Linked DNA regions of Arabidopsis thaliana. The protein of the gene in region 3 interacts with the protein of the main gene of each other region in a pairwise test. Each region holds a gene or a part of one and is shown on either strand. Other genes may lie near its edges.

Evidence for each region. The genes of interacting proteins can lie anywhere in the genome.
Region 1: the proteins of VDAC3 (region 3) and GAPC2 interact in a two-hybrid assay, tested with the Arabidopsis thaliana proteins (one study listed by BioGRID).
Region 2: the proteins of VDAC3 (region 3) and GAPC1 interact in a two-hybrid assay, tested with the Arabidopsis thaliana proteins (one study listed by BioGRID).

What each region holds. Positions count from the first base shown.
Region 1 is NC_003070.9:4,607,530-4,612,866, forward strand, and holds GAPC2 (glyceraldehyde-3-phosphate dehydrogenase C2), read right to left. Parts: upstream 3,350-5,337; 5' UTR 2,966-3,349; coding exon 2,962-2,965; intron 2,869-2,961; coding exon 2,839-2,868; intron 2,748-2,838; coding exon 2,647-2,747; intron 2,447-2,646; coding exon 2,331-2,446; intron 2,240-2,330; coding exon 2,140-2,239; intron 2,054-2,139; coding exon 1,907-2,053; intron 1,807-1,906; coding exon 1,746-1,806; intron 1,661-1,745; coding exon 1,563-1,660; intron 1,477-1,562; coding exon 1,334-1,476; intron 1,246-1,333; coding exon 1,162-1,245; intron 1,069-1,161; coding exon 936-1,068; 3' UTR 548-935; downstream 1-547. Other genes in the region: ST4C (sulfotransferase 4C), read left to right, coding at 1-56. UniProt on the Arabidopsis thaliana protein: Key enzyme in glycolysis that catalyzes the first step of the pathway by converting D-glyceraldehyde 3-phosphate (G3P) into 3-phospho-D-glyceroyl phosphate. Essential for the maintenance of cellular ATP levels and carbohydrate metabolism. Binds DNA in vitro.
Region 2 is NC_003074.8:1,079,040-1,084,237, reverse strand, and holds GAPC1 (glyceraldehyde-3-phosphate dehydrogenase C subunit 1), read right to left. Parts: upstream 3,297-5,198; 5' UTR 3,162-3,296; coding exon 3,158-3,161; intron 3,053-3,157; coding exon 3,023-3,052; intron 2,934-3,022; coding exon 2,833-2,933; intron 2,470-2,832; coding exon 2,354-2,469; intron 2,260-2,353; coding exon 2,160-2,259; intron 2,050-2,159; coding exon 1,903-2,049; intron 1,808-1,902; coding exon 1,747-1,807; intron 1,654-1,746; coding exon 1,413-1,653; intron 1,324-1,412; coding exon 1,107-1,323; 3' UTR 548-1,106; downstream 1-547. Other genes in the region: AT3G04130 (Tetratricopeptide repeat (TPR)-like superfamily protein), read right to left, coding at 1-102; GLR1.1 (glutamate receptor 1.1), read right to left, coding at 4,002-4,316, 4,406-4,740, 4,830-5,142.
Region 3 is NC_003076.8:4,888,418-4,893,291, forward strand, and holds VDAC3 (voltage dependent anion channel 3), read right to left. Parts: upstream 3,187-4,874; 5' UTR 2,973-3,186; coding exon 2,924-2,972; intron 2,468-2,923; coding exon 2,400-2,467; intron 2,217-2,399; coding exon 2,106-2,216; intron 2,003-2,105; coding exon 1,916-2,002; intron 1,823-1,915; coding exon 1,614-1,822; intron 1,525-1,613; coding exon 1,224-1,524; 3' UTR 1,106-1,223; exon of another isoform or gene 876-1,105; intron 754-875; 3' UTR 547-753; downstream 1-546. Other genes in the region: AT5G15080 (Protein kinase superfamily protein), read left to right, coding at 1-138; PIN8 (Auxin efflux carrier family protein), read right to left, coding at 3,742-3,808, 3,910-3,986, 4,069-4,226, 4,313-4,398, 4,730-4,874. UniProt on the Arabidopsis thaliana protein: Forms a channel through the mitochondrial outer membrane that allows diffusion of small hydrophilic molecules. The channel adopts an open conformation at low or zero membrane potential and a closed conformation at potentials above 30-40 mV.

The DNA of each region.
Region 1 (5,337 bases), on a different chromosome or scaffold from region 3:
ATAAAATCGATATGATCGTCGAGGAGAAACTCAAAGGTTCCGGTTTGAAATTCTAGAATTATGCGTGTGCTTTGTGAAGAACTGCAGAAAAAGTGTTCTTGAATGCGTTATTTAATAATAAAAGTTACATTGTCATATATATAACTTTGATGTATCATTACAACTGATGTGTGGTTTTTGTTCTCTTTGATGTTGCAATAAAAACCTTCTTTACTTCTATGTTCCTTTAATAACTAGCGTGTGATCTCATGAGTACCATTTCAATAGTGGCATGTTACTCTTCATTTACGACTAATAAAGTAATAAAATAATCGTATTATCACATGCAATAACATGTCACTATTGAAAATACGAGTTTCCTATTAACTTTAAAAGTTAGCATGCAAATAAAATTATAATATCAATCATTTTACAATGATGTCAACCAAAAAATTGGATCTTCGCAATTGCAAGGAAATACTAAATTCCAATTTTTGATCCTCCGTTTCAACAAACTTGGCTGATTCGTTAAAAAACAATGTGGCGATGCTTATCAACCAATAAATCCGTCTCAGTAACTTTTGCTTTCAATCGAAGATGATTGACCTAATGTGAGCTATATGACTAGGAAGAACCATTTTGGTGGAGAAGCTCAAGTACAAATAGACTATTAAAAATACGAGAAGAGGACGTTCAATGTTCCAGTTGCCAGTTGGGTTTGAGTTAGCACGAGAAAGTAATGAACTAAAAACTTAATTAACATAAAAAACCAAACCAATGGTTTCAGTAAATAAAGCAGGGAAACATTAAGAGAAAGCAAAAAGACAAAAGCTACAAACTCTCATGACTGCGCATGGAATCAGTGAAAAAACATAACAACTCGAGTTTTCTTTTCTCCTTTTTTTTATTCAGAACAGTACGAACTCAACCACACACAAACTCTCGCCGGTGTAAGCTTAGGCCTTTGACATGTGAACGATAAGGTCAACGACACGAGAACTGTAACCCCATTCGTTGTCGTACCATGACACCAACTTCACAAACTTGTCGCTCAATGCAATCCCAGCCTTGGCATCGAAAATGCTTGACCTATAAACACAAACCCAATATTTCAATTATTTGCTCTCGCCATTTATAAGATCAGAAAACTGTATATCACTCTACAGACAATATTTTTTATACCTGTTGTCACCAACAAAGTCGGTAGACACAACATCATCCTCAGTGTATCCCAAAATTCCCTTCATTTTGCCTTCAGATTCCTCCCTGAAAAGTTTTAACCAAAATCTTTTGTAAGTACCCAATAAATTCTAATATGATATGGTTAGGACTGAGGGTCCTTGATGGTTCTCACTTGATGGCCTTCTTGATTTCGTCGTATGTTGCAGCTTTCTCAAGTCTAACGGTGAGATCAACAACTGAGACATCAACGGTTGGAACACGGAAAGACATTCCGGTCAATTTTCCATTGAGGGATGGCAACACTTTCCCAACAGCCTATCAACAACCATGATACAAAAATCAGATTCAACATAATTTCTCAATCAAAATCAATTAAAACAAATAAGAGGCTGAAATGATACCTTGGCGGCACCAGTGCTGCTAGGAATAATGTTGAAGGAAGCAGCTCTTCCACCTCTCCAGTCCTTCATTGATGGACCATCAACTGTCTTCTGAGTAGCTGATCACCAAAACAACAGTTACTATTGAGTCAAATATACATATTTTCAAGAATCAACCCAATGAAACCAAATATAAATACGTACCAGTGATAGAGTGGACAGTGGTCATGAGTCCCTCAACAATGCCAAACCTGTCATTAATAACCTGCACAAATAGATTGCAACTGTAAGAGAAATGATTCAACTTAAAATTCAGAATTCAGAACAATTTACACAAGTTTATGGGTTGAAACAGAAAAAGATACCTTGGCAAGAGGAGCAAGGCAGTTAGTGGTGCAACTAGCGTTGGAAACAATGTCAAGGTCAGACTTGTACTCGTGCTCGTTGACACCAACAACGAACATGGGCGCATCTTTGCTTGGGGCAGAGATGACAACCTTTTTAGCACCACCCTGAATAACAATGAAACAATATGATGATGATATAGATCTTAAATAAACAAGTTCTCGACTATTATATAAAAGATCCAAGTTCAAACCTTCAAGTGAGCAGCAGCCTTGTCTTTGTCAGTGAAGACACCAGTAGACTCAACAACAAAGTCAGCTCCAGCCTCACCCCATGGGATGTCCTCAGGGTTCCTTCAAAAATAAAACACCACAAATCAGAATTTCACAACTCTCAATAACATAACAGAGAACCACTATAATAAAATCATCCATGATTATGTACCTGATGCCGAAAACAGTGACTGGCTTCTCACCGAAGAGAAGAGTTTTGTCATCCTTCACCTTAAGCTCATGGTGCTTCCACTGACCGTGAACACTGTCATACTTAAACATGTATGTCTGCAACAAATCGATACCATATACACAATCAGTCAAAACGAATTTACAGAGAATCAACATAGAAGAAGAATACAACAAAGCAAGTTCTCAGATCTATATGATAAACAGCACACACCATCATGTATATTAACAAAAATTCAGATAAAACTATTAACTCAAATCCAGATACGAACTAGTATCGAAGAGAAGAAGAAACGAACCATGTACTCGGTGGTGATGAAAGGATCGTTAACAGCGACGAGCTCAACATCATCCCTCTGAAGAACAACTCTAGCAACCAAACGACCGATTCTTCCGAAACCTTCACGAAGATTCAAAACTCAGCTTCTACAGATCCAAATCACTTAAACCTAACCAAAAAACTTATGGAATTCGATAAGAAAAACACTCACCGTTGATTCCGATTCTGATCTTCTTGTCAGCTACACAAACCAAAATTACGATCAGATTCAAAAAGTATCAACGAAAGAACAATAAATCGAAGAATCGCAGATCAACAAGAGCGAGAAGCTTACCCATTTTGCGAAATTGAGATCGAGAGAGATTTAGATGATATCGAGAGAGAAGAGAATGTGAAAATAGTGAGTGAGGGTTTGGGTTTGGTGAGGATTTAGGGTTATTTAAAAGAGAAGAAGAACGTGATGATGAAAATTGAAAATATGATCGAGTGGCTGAGATTTTTTCTTGGGAAAAAGGCTAATAGATTAGATTCACTAATTAATATTACTATATTGTACTTTACTTTCTTTCTTATTTACCATTTTTACCCATCGTTTATGGGTAGGATTAAGAACTGATTTGGGGAAACTAATGGCGCTTGGATTCACGCGCAGGCTGATGGAATATTCGAGGTTTAATACTCTAATCCTATGGGCTGGGCCGGTGCACGCAAGACTGCAACGTAGCAGATTTTGTATATATTCCTTTTGACAGCCAATGAGCTTTGCCAATAGCCAAATTTGTTTTTCTTTTTATTTAATTTTCATAAGATTTTGTATTATTGTTGTTGTCAAACCATAATTTTCCTTAATAAATCCAAAGTAACTGCAATAGTATGCTCATTTTTTAATTTTGCGTAACAAGTAACACCACTGTCTTCTATACATGTATCTTGTGATACCATTCATGGTAAATTCAATTATTATCGGATCAACTTTATCATCCAGTTCATTATAGTGAAAGTTACTCTCAAATGTCAATTCTCACTCAACATTCAGCAACATTACTCCAACCATTGTTTTAGAATAATCAAGGTGAAGATTTGACTTCATAAACACTATATTTAAAGGTGTTTTGTTTTAATCAATTTAGATGTGTAGATGCTTGTAGACGTCTTTATCGAATTACTGGTTGCTTACTGTTTCAAATATTTATAATTTGACACAAGTACATATGGTGTTGTATATTTATCTAATCGTGACTCTATACCAAGACACAATAGATGCTCCACTTTGAGAGCTTTGGTAGGTCAGATGGAATGTGACAGCAAAAAAAAACATCACACCTTATGTAATAGACTAATAGGTATGACTCTTGGCTTTTGCCAAAAGTCTTCTTCTTCTCCTCCTCTTATTTGCTCTCTTTTCTTTTTCCATTTCATTTTTGTTAGGTGAATGGTTATAAAACTCCTTCTTTTGGTATTCATATGGATCTTTATACATCCAATAAATAGCTAAAATATTATCTGAGGTCAACAATATATCATAAATTGAAGTTTGTGATCTTTCTATAACTCATGATCATTTCCAAGAGTCCACTTATAAGTTATAACTGACCCGTCAAGTGTCAGCCATTCTCTTCGACTGAATAAGTTCTATGATTTAAAAACGATTTTCTAATTCGTTTTTCTTTGTAAAATCAATTTACTTTGGTTTGTACTTTGTAGTAAAAAACCAAATTTATTTTTGCTGAAAACCATATTTGAGAATTTTATAACATAACGTACATGTATTTTTTTCATTATCTGAATTATTTGTAGTGATTTTGTGGAATTTTCATATGTTATTTCTGATCTTATCCCTTTTATTTTGAAGTGTCATTATTCACAATGTTCTAAAGTAATCGTGAAGTGAAAAGAACCACAATATATCATTATCAAAGTATATGTTAAAATTCGATTCTAAGAGAAAGAAAAAAAAAGATAGAAAGAAAGATGCAATAATTGATGCAAACCTTCTCGACAAAAACAATTATTGACGCAAAACTTTAACTATTGGAATCTTATCCTGATGATCTGCTTATAACCAATGTTATTCCACTTACGTGATATTTAAGATCTAGAAGTTGGTTTATTTATGCATAAACATTTCAATTAACTCAGTTTCATTTGTATGTTTGTGATGTTTATGCTGTCTTGATTCTGTCTTCCTCCTTTTCACGCTGTCTCAAAGGAGAAAAGTAATAAGGAGATCACGAGGGAGATTCAAGCTATAATGAGACAAGTTGCTTCCAGCATAACTTGCTTGCCTTGTCTCCATGAAACATGTAAGAGAGAGAGACATTAATCGGCTTGGCGGTTGGATAAGGTGTGTTTGTTGTGTTGGGAGCATTTACTGATACCGATGTGGCTGTACCGTTCACCTGGATCAAGAGAGTGGTTGAATTACATTCTTTGATACTAGTGTTTGTTAATCAAATCATTATAGTGTTTTCTCAGTAGTATAAGTTCAGAAAGTTTCTCTGGCTTTGCAGATTGACAAGGTCGAACACACTCATTTCATACAAGAACAATAAAAGGGATGAAGAATGACTCTGATACCACACACAAACACTCGCTCGTCTGATTGTGAACAATTTATTCACTTCTCTTATGTTCTGTTCTTACAAATGTAACAGACCAAAAATCTATTTTGAGGTCTTCTTGGTCTGTACGGTAAATGCCAGTTATGATA
Region 2 (5,198 bases), on a different chromosome or scaffold from region 3:
AGAGAGATTCTTGATAAACGTAGAGAAAATAGCGATAGAAGACGAAGAAGGATTAAGGCGTAACAAGGTGTTTCCAATGCGATTTTGAATAAGCCAAGACATTAAATCTAAAACCCAGAACAGGGTTCTTCAACTGCAACCATAGGAAAATCAAATTTTTATCATCATCAATGAAATTTGAATCTTACTAGTGACATATGACGAAAATAAGTTAGACATGAAACTCAAAGATCGTACCTGAAAGATGGAGCAAAGGGAAATTGTGAAAATGACGACGGCCTCTTGCCGGAGAAATTTGAGGAGGACTAATCGCAAGAGAAGGGTTTACGGCCCAAAGTTGGGCTCTCTGGTTTTGGAAGCGTTTTACACCGTCTGGTTTGAAAAACCGGTTAGGCTTTGTGTTTGACCAACTGGGCTTTGGCATTGGGCCTTCTTGTGTCGTATATCAACGACCTCCCCATTTTTTCGATGCGGATGTGTACAAATAATTGAAGTGCCACTATACGTGAATTTGTGTAACATGGTTTAATAATTTGTTCAAAGTACCTTTACAGATGAACACATATTTCGTTGTCTTTATAAACCGCACATCTGTTAATGAATTTCTTATGTTTTGAGAAGAATCAATAACAAAAGGCAACATGAAATACTTTTCATTCAAACATCAGTCTACAAACTCGCATAAATGAGAATCGCAAACATAAAATATAGGTTCCACTTAGAAACTTTTATTCGAAAACTAGAAGAAGCTAGATTAATAAGTGTACACCTCTAGTTCCTTAGATTTGCTACGTCATCATCAACGGGAGCTCATTTAGTTTCATTTTTCGTTCAGATTTGATTTAGTATATAGTTAAAAAGAGAAGTGGAACAAAATTGAAAACCATAACGTTAACTCAATATATCAAAAGCCAAAAACAAAGGGCTTCCAGTAAAACATCGGTCTACAAACTCCCATCACCTCACATGAATGAGAATTAAGAAAACCAAAAAAAAAAAAAGTTCCAAGTTCAAAGAAATTTTATTCGAAAACGACAAATTCAGACCATAAAAGGGGATGAACAGATGACTTTCCACTCCCTATCATTCGAGATCTGCTTCTTAGCTTAGGCCTTTGACATGTGGACGATCAAGTCGACCACACGGGAACTGTAACCCCATTCGTTGTCGTACCATGACACCAATTTCACAAACTTGTCGCTCAATGCAATTCCAGCCTTGGCGTCAAAAATGCTCGACCTGTTGTCGCCAACGAAGTCAGTTGAGACAACATCATCCTCGGTGTATCCAAGGATTCCCTTGAGTTTGCCTTCGGATTCCTCCCTATGTATTGGTGGTAAAAACACTTGGTGAGTAATTTGATCACTACTGGAATATAAGTAAACTTAATCTGTCATTGCTCAAAAGCTTACTTGATAGCCTTTTTGATTTCATCGTAGGTAGCAGCTTTCTCGAGTCTGACAGTAAGGTCAACAACTGAGACATCAACGGTTGGGACACGGAAAGACATTCCAGTCAACTTTCCGTTAAGAGCTGGAAGCACCTTTCCGACAGCCTTGGCAGCTCCAGTGCTGCTGGGAATAATGTTGAATGAAGCAGCTCTTCCACCTCTCCAGTCCTTCATTGAAGGCCCATCAACAGTCTTCTGAGTAGCTGAAATCATAAAGCAAACCCCATTAAATCACAAATTTTCCACCTATAGGCAAGCAAGTTTGTAATAAACTTCTAACTGATTGATAAATTTACCAGTGATTGAGTGGACTGTAGTCATAAGACCCTCAACAATTCCAAATCTGTCATTGATAACCTACACAATGAAATCAAAGAACGTTAAATGAAATTAGTCACTTCAACTTGAAATACAAAGTCAAATTTGATCATATAGAATATCAGATATTTTACCTTGGCAAGGGGAGCAAGGCAGTTAGTGGTGCAGCTAGCGTTGGAGACAATGTCAAGGTCGGACTTGTATTCGTGCTCGTTGACACCAACAACAAACATTGGAGCGTCTTTGCTGGGGGCAGAGATAACAACCTTCTTGGCACCACCCTGAAAATACAACAAGTCACAAATTTAGTTGAATGATACTAAGCAAATTCTAGCACATAAACTATTTATATCATTACAAGACAAAAATAACCAATTCAAATAAGACAAACCTTCAAGTGAGCTGCAGCCTTGTCTTTGTCAGTGAAGACACCAGTAGACTCAACAACGTAGTCAGCTCCAGCCTCGGCCCATGGGATATCCTCAGGGTTCCTTCACAAATACCAAAAACTAATGAGATTGAAATTCACAACAGTTTGTAATATGTATACACGCAAAGAGACAGAGAACTGGTTGATAAATGTACCTGATGCCGAAAACAGTGACTGGCTTCTCACCGAAGAGAAGGGTCTTCTCATCCTTGATCTTGAGTTCATTGTGTTTCCATTGACCGTGAACACTGTCGTACTTGAACATGTAGGTCTGCAGCAATCAAACACAGAGCGCAATCAAAATCAACTCAACCATATCAACTCTAATCACAAACAGGCTAATCAATAACATTACAAACACAGCAAAACAAACAACAGCTCCACAAGTATACTGATCAGCTAAACAGTATGAACAATGAACACTAAACCAGTTTCCAGATCTGTGCACTAATTGAACAAATCATCTGACACTTAAATCCACATGCATAATCCATAAATGATATGATCCATCTATCAAATCTAACGAAAGCAAAGGTACCAGAGCGACTAACAGAATCTTATCGTCAAGAGATCAAAATAATATTGAAGCAAACCAAGATCGAATCACCGTCAAAACCAAGGAAGGAACACTAACCATGTACTCAGTAGTGATGAAGGGGTCGTTGACAGCGACGAGCTCAACATCGTCCCTCTGGAGAACAACTCTAGCAACCAAACGACCAATTCTTCCGAATCCTAACGATAACAGAAATCAACAGTCAGATTCTAGATCTAGATACATGAGAACATACAAACCCGAATTACAAAATCGATTCGAAACTCACCGTTGATTCCGATCCTAATCTTCTTGTCAGCTACATAAAACAACAAACAAAATCAGAAAAACGATCAGATCAGAAAACTCAACAACGTAAAATAGCAGCGACGGGACGAGAGATTAGTAAAAGCGAGAGACTAACCCATTGTAGAATCGAAAACGAGAGTTAGAGAGAGGTTGAAGATGAGATTGGCAGAGAGAGATTTTAGAGTGAGATAGGTGAGTGAGAAGGGTTCCGTGAAGAGGTTATTTAAAAGAGAGAAGAACGTGGAGGAGGGGTCGGAATGATCTAGTGGCTGAGAGTTTTTCTTGGCCAAAAAGTCAGATCTGATTCAATACTTTTCTTAACCTAAAAGACCAAATTGCCCTTAATCATTTTCCTTATTTACCGTTGTAGCTCTGTTATTTTGGCAAATGTCGTCATTCCTGAGGCGAGACATGGCAACTGCATCTCACGCGCTAATCTGGAATATTCTTTAAATATTTAAGACGGGTCGGGTAAGCATGAAACGCAGCGTATTTGGATATGCTTTTATGCGCCGACCAGTGTTTGACTGCCACGAGTTCACGAGCGGCCCATTTTAGTAGACGGGTTCCATTTTCTAGAACGTAACGCCCAAATAAAATTATATTTTAGAAAAGTATATATTTCAAGTTTTCAACTCTTTAGGAGACTTTCTTTAAAAGAAGATATTTGATAGGCGTATATGGACAAGAATTTGAAAATTTTGATTTGATAAGCAATATTCAAAAAAGCAAAAGTCCCTATCAAAAACTCGATTAGTTGATGTATTTAATTCAAAAAATACTTCGTGATGGGTGAATCACTTTAGTATTTACGTGAATTAAATTATTACATGTGAATTTAAACGGGAAAAAAAAACAAGTATTACATGTGAAATTTGTTTCGAAGTGTACTTTGTTGTTACTTATGAGTCCTGTCCCGTCAATTGCTATAGTAGAGCTTATGAACGATGGATCACTTTTTACTTATAGAAGCTTTGAAGTTTGGTGCATAGTCGTGATACCTCTTGACGCGTATGAAAGAGATGTAGGGCTAGTACGAGAACATGAGCAGCTCCCGCAATGATGAACAAACCGCGCAACTCACGGAAGGTGAATCGCTTAGATGCCTCATCATCGTCGTTGGTAGATGCAACTTCCTCGGTGTTGGAATGTACATTTAGTGAATCCAGTTTTTGAAACCATTTTTTCTCCATGTCTTTCAACATTCCCAATGATCTTAGCTTCGCGATTTCTCGCGATACTTTAGGAACCAAATCCGAACCTTTCTGGAACATCTGAGAGGTAAACATAAATTAGTACGTAACAAGAATAAGTAACCAAATAATGGAGAGAAAATGAGAGGTTTGAGGAGAAGGGTACATACAAAGCCAAAGCCATTGGTATTAGTCACTCTATCTGTCATTACGAAATCATTCGGATAATTTCCGATAAGGATACTGAGATAAGGTATTTCATTGATGACATGATTAAGAGTTCCATCTCGCAAAAGTTGTGCATAGGCCTCAACTGCATTAATGGATCCGAGCTTCGCAGTCATTGACGTCGTAGATCCCCCGAAAACCATCTGATGATTTAATTGCATGCGAGAAATGGTCTTGGTTGATGTCAAGTTTGCGCTGTAACTTGAAGTCAATATTAACACCACAAAAACCCAAACTATGACTAAGAATCTTGATGACATTTTCTGTAGCTTCTCTCCTGCCAAGAATGTGCGTAATTTGTTATAGATCAAAATATACAAAAGGATGGGATTTCATGAAGAGTAGTACTCTAACATAAACACTTACTGTGAGCAAATACAATGGTTGAGAAACCAAACCAGAGCATCATACTAAGTTGTTGTCCCCAAGAGCCCTGAAATTCCGGATTAACGGACCGTTCAACTAACCAAACAACAATCCCAGTTAAGACAAAGAAAGCTCCACTTGCTAGCCACAAGGATTTTTCGAAAGGATCAAAGAAGGTCCACATCCCTTGGCTTTTCTTTTTCACTGTCAAGATTCCAATACCAATGTCAGTGTACGGCAAAGTAAAATCAACATACAAAGATCTGTTGGAAGTGATGGTGATATCACCAACTGCTGCATCATACTTGTCTCTCTGTCAAAATTGCAAACACACATTATTAGAAACATACATAATCATTTTTGACTAGA
Region 3 (4,874 bases):
GGGTCAGGTCGATCCCAAGGATTTGGATCAAGAAACGGGCAACACCAACCCGTGTTTCGAACACTGTCTAGTCCTCATGGTTCTTCGCCTTATCGACATCAGATTCCTTCGCCAAAGCCTAAAGGAGCAACTACATAGCTCTTACGTGGTGGAAATAGGCCACAAACGAACAGAGCTAGAAGGCTCAAGCTTTTATCGTCGTTTTTAAGCAACAAGGAGATATTTTTAAACAACGTTAGGGTAACTCTTTAATTGATTAATAATGTACGATGGAGAAGGGTAAATCCAAATGGAAAAAAAAAAAACTGATTTTGTCTTCCATTGCTGAAAGCATAGAAAAGTTATAAATTGAAAACATTTTTGATGCTCTTTATAAATTGAAAACACCAAGTATCTACCATTTTCAAACGCAAAAGCCAGTATCCCGGAAACAGAGGTATCGTGTTTGTTCATCTACTTCTGGTGGTCAGAATGATAGATTCAAAGTAGAGTACACTCCTTGGCTTATCGTTGGGTTGGGCAATCCAGGAAACAAGTATCATGGAACAAGACACAATCTTTTTCTTTTACTGATTTGCTGGATTTGATCTCGGCAATGCTACAACTTTGTGTTGTTTTCAGGTTGGTTTCGAGATGATCGATGTGTTGGCTCGAAAAGAAGGGGTTTTGATGAACACGATACAGTCCAAAGCTCTAATCGGAATAGGTTCTACTTCTCTTGCTTTTGGTTCTTTGGTTTGAAGAATAATAAAACTGATGACTTTTTGGTTCTATGTAAGAATCAGTACAGGTGCTATTGAAGGTGTACCTATCTTGTTGGCTAAACCTCAGATAAAAATCTGACCAACTAGACAAAATTAATTAGACATGTAAGAAGAACCTCATAGAAAAATCCACTAAGGGAACTCCAAATGGAACAAAGTATAGCAGAGGCAGAAAATAAAAGAGAGAACCAAGTAAAAGATATGGAACAGAGTATTGTAGCAGAGGCGGAAAATAAAAGAGAGAGAGCCAAGTAAAACGATCTTAATGGTTCTTTATCGTCAAAGACGATCCTTTCAATAGTATTTTTCTCTTTTATTTTCTACAAATCCCAACACCGAACAAAAAAAACAAATGAAAGATTGTTTAGCAAACCAGACAGCGATTTGTCCAAAGATTTGAAGACGAAAAAGAAATAACACCTATTCTACCCACTTCAGGGCCCATTTGGTGGTATCTTCTCAGGGCTTGAGAGCGAGAGCAATCCCAACCTTGGCACTCTTATCGATCGCCTTAGAATCAACCTCTCCAGAAACGGTGAAGAACGACTTTGGACGCCACTCATGTTGGATCAGAGCGTTAGCCACACCAGCATTGTTCACTCTTGCCTTCACTGTGGTCAATGGGTCAAGCGCGTGTTGAGTTCCGACAGTGATGGCGTTCTCTTTGGTCGTGAAGTTGTGGCTAATCTCAGCTCCAACCACAGTCGACGGGCTCACAATCTGGTAGTAGGATGCATTCAATTTCTCACCTTTGTCATTCCTGAAAAAAAACAGTTTAAGAAACAACTCTTTTAAAACCAGCAGCATTAAAATCTCAAGTCATCATTTCATATGGAGGGAGGCACTTACAGAATGAGGGAAGCAGTCAAATCATCCTTGGTGAAGTTGAAACCAGCATTGAAATGTTTGAAGTTGCCAGATTCGGTGTTATAGGCCACATCAGTACCAAGAGACAAACCATTGGTTCCAACCACACCGGAGAAGTTGACAATCGGGGTAGCTGTGAATCCAACGCTGGTAGAGATACCAGCATAGTCATGGAAATACTGAACCTCAGCCTGCTCAGAAAACAACAAATAATGGTTATCTCCAACATACCAACCTTTAAAAAAACGGAACAGAAAGAAAAGAAAGCTGGTGGAGTTATATACCTTTCCAGATTTGTGATCGGGCAACTTAGCCTGAACAATAACTTTCAGTCCAGGGGCAGGCTCATCAAAGGTAAGAGTGGTCAAAAGCTGAAATTATTCACACACAAAAAAAAATCAATTGAATACTCCAGCAGCAATCGGCAACATCATATATCTACTAGAAACAGCTAAAGCTAAAAAGTCTACTTACAGAAGAATCAGTGGAAACTTTGACATCAGCAGTGAAGTTGTTGTTCTTCACTTGGGTAGCAACATCACCCAAAAACAAGCTTCCTTTGTTTGTTCCCGTTGTAGTGATCGCCTACAAATTTATCACCATTCGACACAAGAAAGAGTCAAGTGAGAGTACACATGAAAACAAACTGTACAACCAAATTTGACATAACAGAAAACTAGACAAATCTCAATTTTATCACTAACAATAAACCCATCGCACCAACAAAATAGAGAATTGACAGAAATAAAAACAATAATAAAAACTTACAACACCAGTTGAAGAGTAAGTGGTGACACTGAATTTCTGGTCTCCTTGGTAATCCCTGTACAGAAGATCTACAATAGCATTCAAAAACCTTCAGATTCAACTCAAATAGAAAAGTTCAACACGAGACAACTACTCTGTATCCTTGATAGACATTTTCCAGATCCAAGATAAAAAATTTCAAAACCAGCTAATCAACGAGTGACCCAAAAATTGAAACCCAGAGAACCAGTCTTGTTATTCTATCTATACAGATAAACGAAACGGATAGCATAAATCTGACGGAAACGAACACAGATATTATCAATCAGCTCACAAAACACGAATATTTAACTTTTTATGCATCTATTCAAATTTCAACGACCTAAGCGTGACCGATAGAAATCGGAATAAAACCAGGAATGAGAAACCCTAACCGATTCAATGAATATCAACCTAAACCCAGATCAGAAAAGAGCTCAAATGTTTACGAAATGTCAACAACAGTCACATTCGCGTCACCATAGAGAAAGAGAGAGAGATCGTACCTCTGGCCTTTTTGCCGATTTCAGTGTAGAGTCCTGGACCTTTAACCATGATTGCCTCTGGAAAAATCGAAGAAGCTTTGAAAGATTCCGAAGTCGAGAAGAAGAGTAATGGAGGATTCTGGAGAAAATGAGGTGTGGTGTTTGTGTATATAAGGGGAAGAAGAAAGGGTAACCCTAAATTAATTTATATTATAATATTGTATTTCCCTGCTTATCAAGTAAAAATATCTCAGCCGTTAGATTAATATGACATGAGTCGGTGTCCCTCTTTATCAACCGTTGATTATATATTCCCCTCTCTCCAAGGCATTTTTTTTATGTTTTTTATTTGATTTTCGTATTCTTATTTTATTTTTTTATGGCTTTTTTCCATTTTTCATTGCGTGGCAAGCAAAGCAGGCCGTGTACTCTCTAGTTTTCTTCATCCCCAAAATTTATTTATTTTTATATAATTTTTTTTTTGTTGTTGAGTCTTTGACAATGTCTATTTATTTTCTTAGAGTTAACCATCTGAATTGTTCTTATTAATGTGATATTTAAATTTTCTTAAATGGTGTTCTTTTATATTTACTCCTATATAGTATCTATTATCCTATTTTTTAAAAAGAATAAGTCAAAATTTTGATTTTACTAGTTGACATGTTTTTTTCTAATTTAATATCAGGAGAAAAATGATTTACAATAATTAAAGAGAATGGTTGACATTATTAGCTTTATAATTTCAACATCTAAAAAACTATGACTAAATTAAATACCATATAAAATCCAAAATTAAGAGCCTACGTATAAAACATGTTTTTTTTTTGAACATGTCATATTCATAGGTCCAATAGAAAATAATATGCCAAAGTTGTTGGTAAGGCAATTAGCATTCCAAATATCACCCTGAAAAAGCAAAACAATAAAAACCACAAAAATAAATTTCAAAAAAATTGTAATAAGAAGAAGGAAAAAAAAAAATCAAATCAAGAAATATATTTATTTACCCAGTACTAATGATCTCCGGGTGAAGATTATACTCTTTTGCAAAAACAAATGGCACTACTCCTTGAGGCAATGCTGCCTACAACACAATAAATCAATCGACAAAAACATATATATGACAGATTTTATTATTAACGGATTATTAATTTTAATATTTTCACCTGTAATATTGCTACTTTGAAGAGAGTACTTTTTAATCTGATGCAATACGCAGAAGCAATCATAAGAGCAGGTCCTAATACGAACTTGAGCAGCATTGTTATAATCGCCATTTTTGTACCACATGCTATGATACTACTTTGTGATGCCATGAACAGACCTGTTTCATTTTTTGTTAAATTAAATTTAATTTCCAATCATGAAAGTTTAGTTTTTTTTTTTTTTTTGTATAGATATATAGCTTACCTAAGCTGAACATGGCCATTCCTAAGCCTCCATCAGATAATAAATGTATTGATTTATCAATCATCTCAGGCAAATTCCATCCCAATCTATTGGAGAAAATAAATAAAAACATGAGTAACATTTGATACAAACTATTAAAAAAAGAAGCTAATCTTAATAGTTGGGAATATCACTTGACTATCACTTTTCGATTTTAAAATATTAAAAAAAATGAATTTGTAGATGCGAAAAATGATCAAACAGAAAGCTTAAAATAGGGGAAACTCACTACTAAATTATCGCTTTTCTTTTTGAAAAAGAGAAAAGGAAGTGTTTGAATATGTAAGATGATAAAGATTGAATCTTTAGATGTGTAAGATGATTTATCACAAAAGATATGATTGCAGTGTTAAATATAAGAGAGTTTTGTTTTCACACCTGAAATGTAAAGTAGCCCAAATGATTCCGATCAATGTTGCGTATGTATTTGGATTGATTATAAGCTTTCTCCAAGCCTTCAATAGAATCTTCATAGTTCCAACAGATCTTGTTCTCACTATTGCTACTTCTTCTTCGTCCTCTT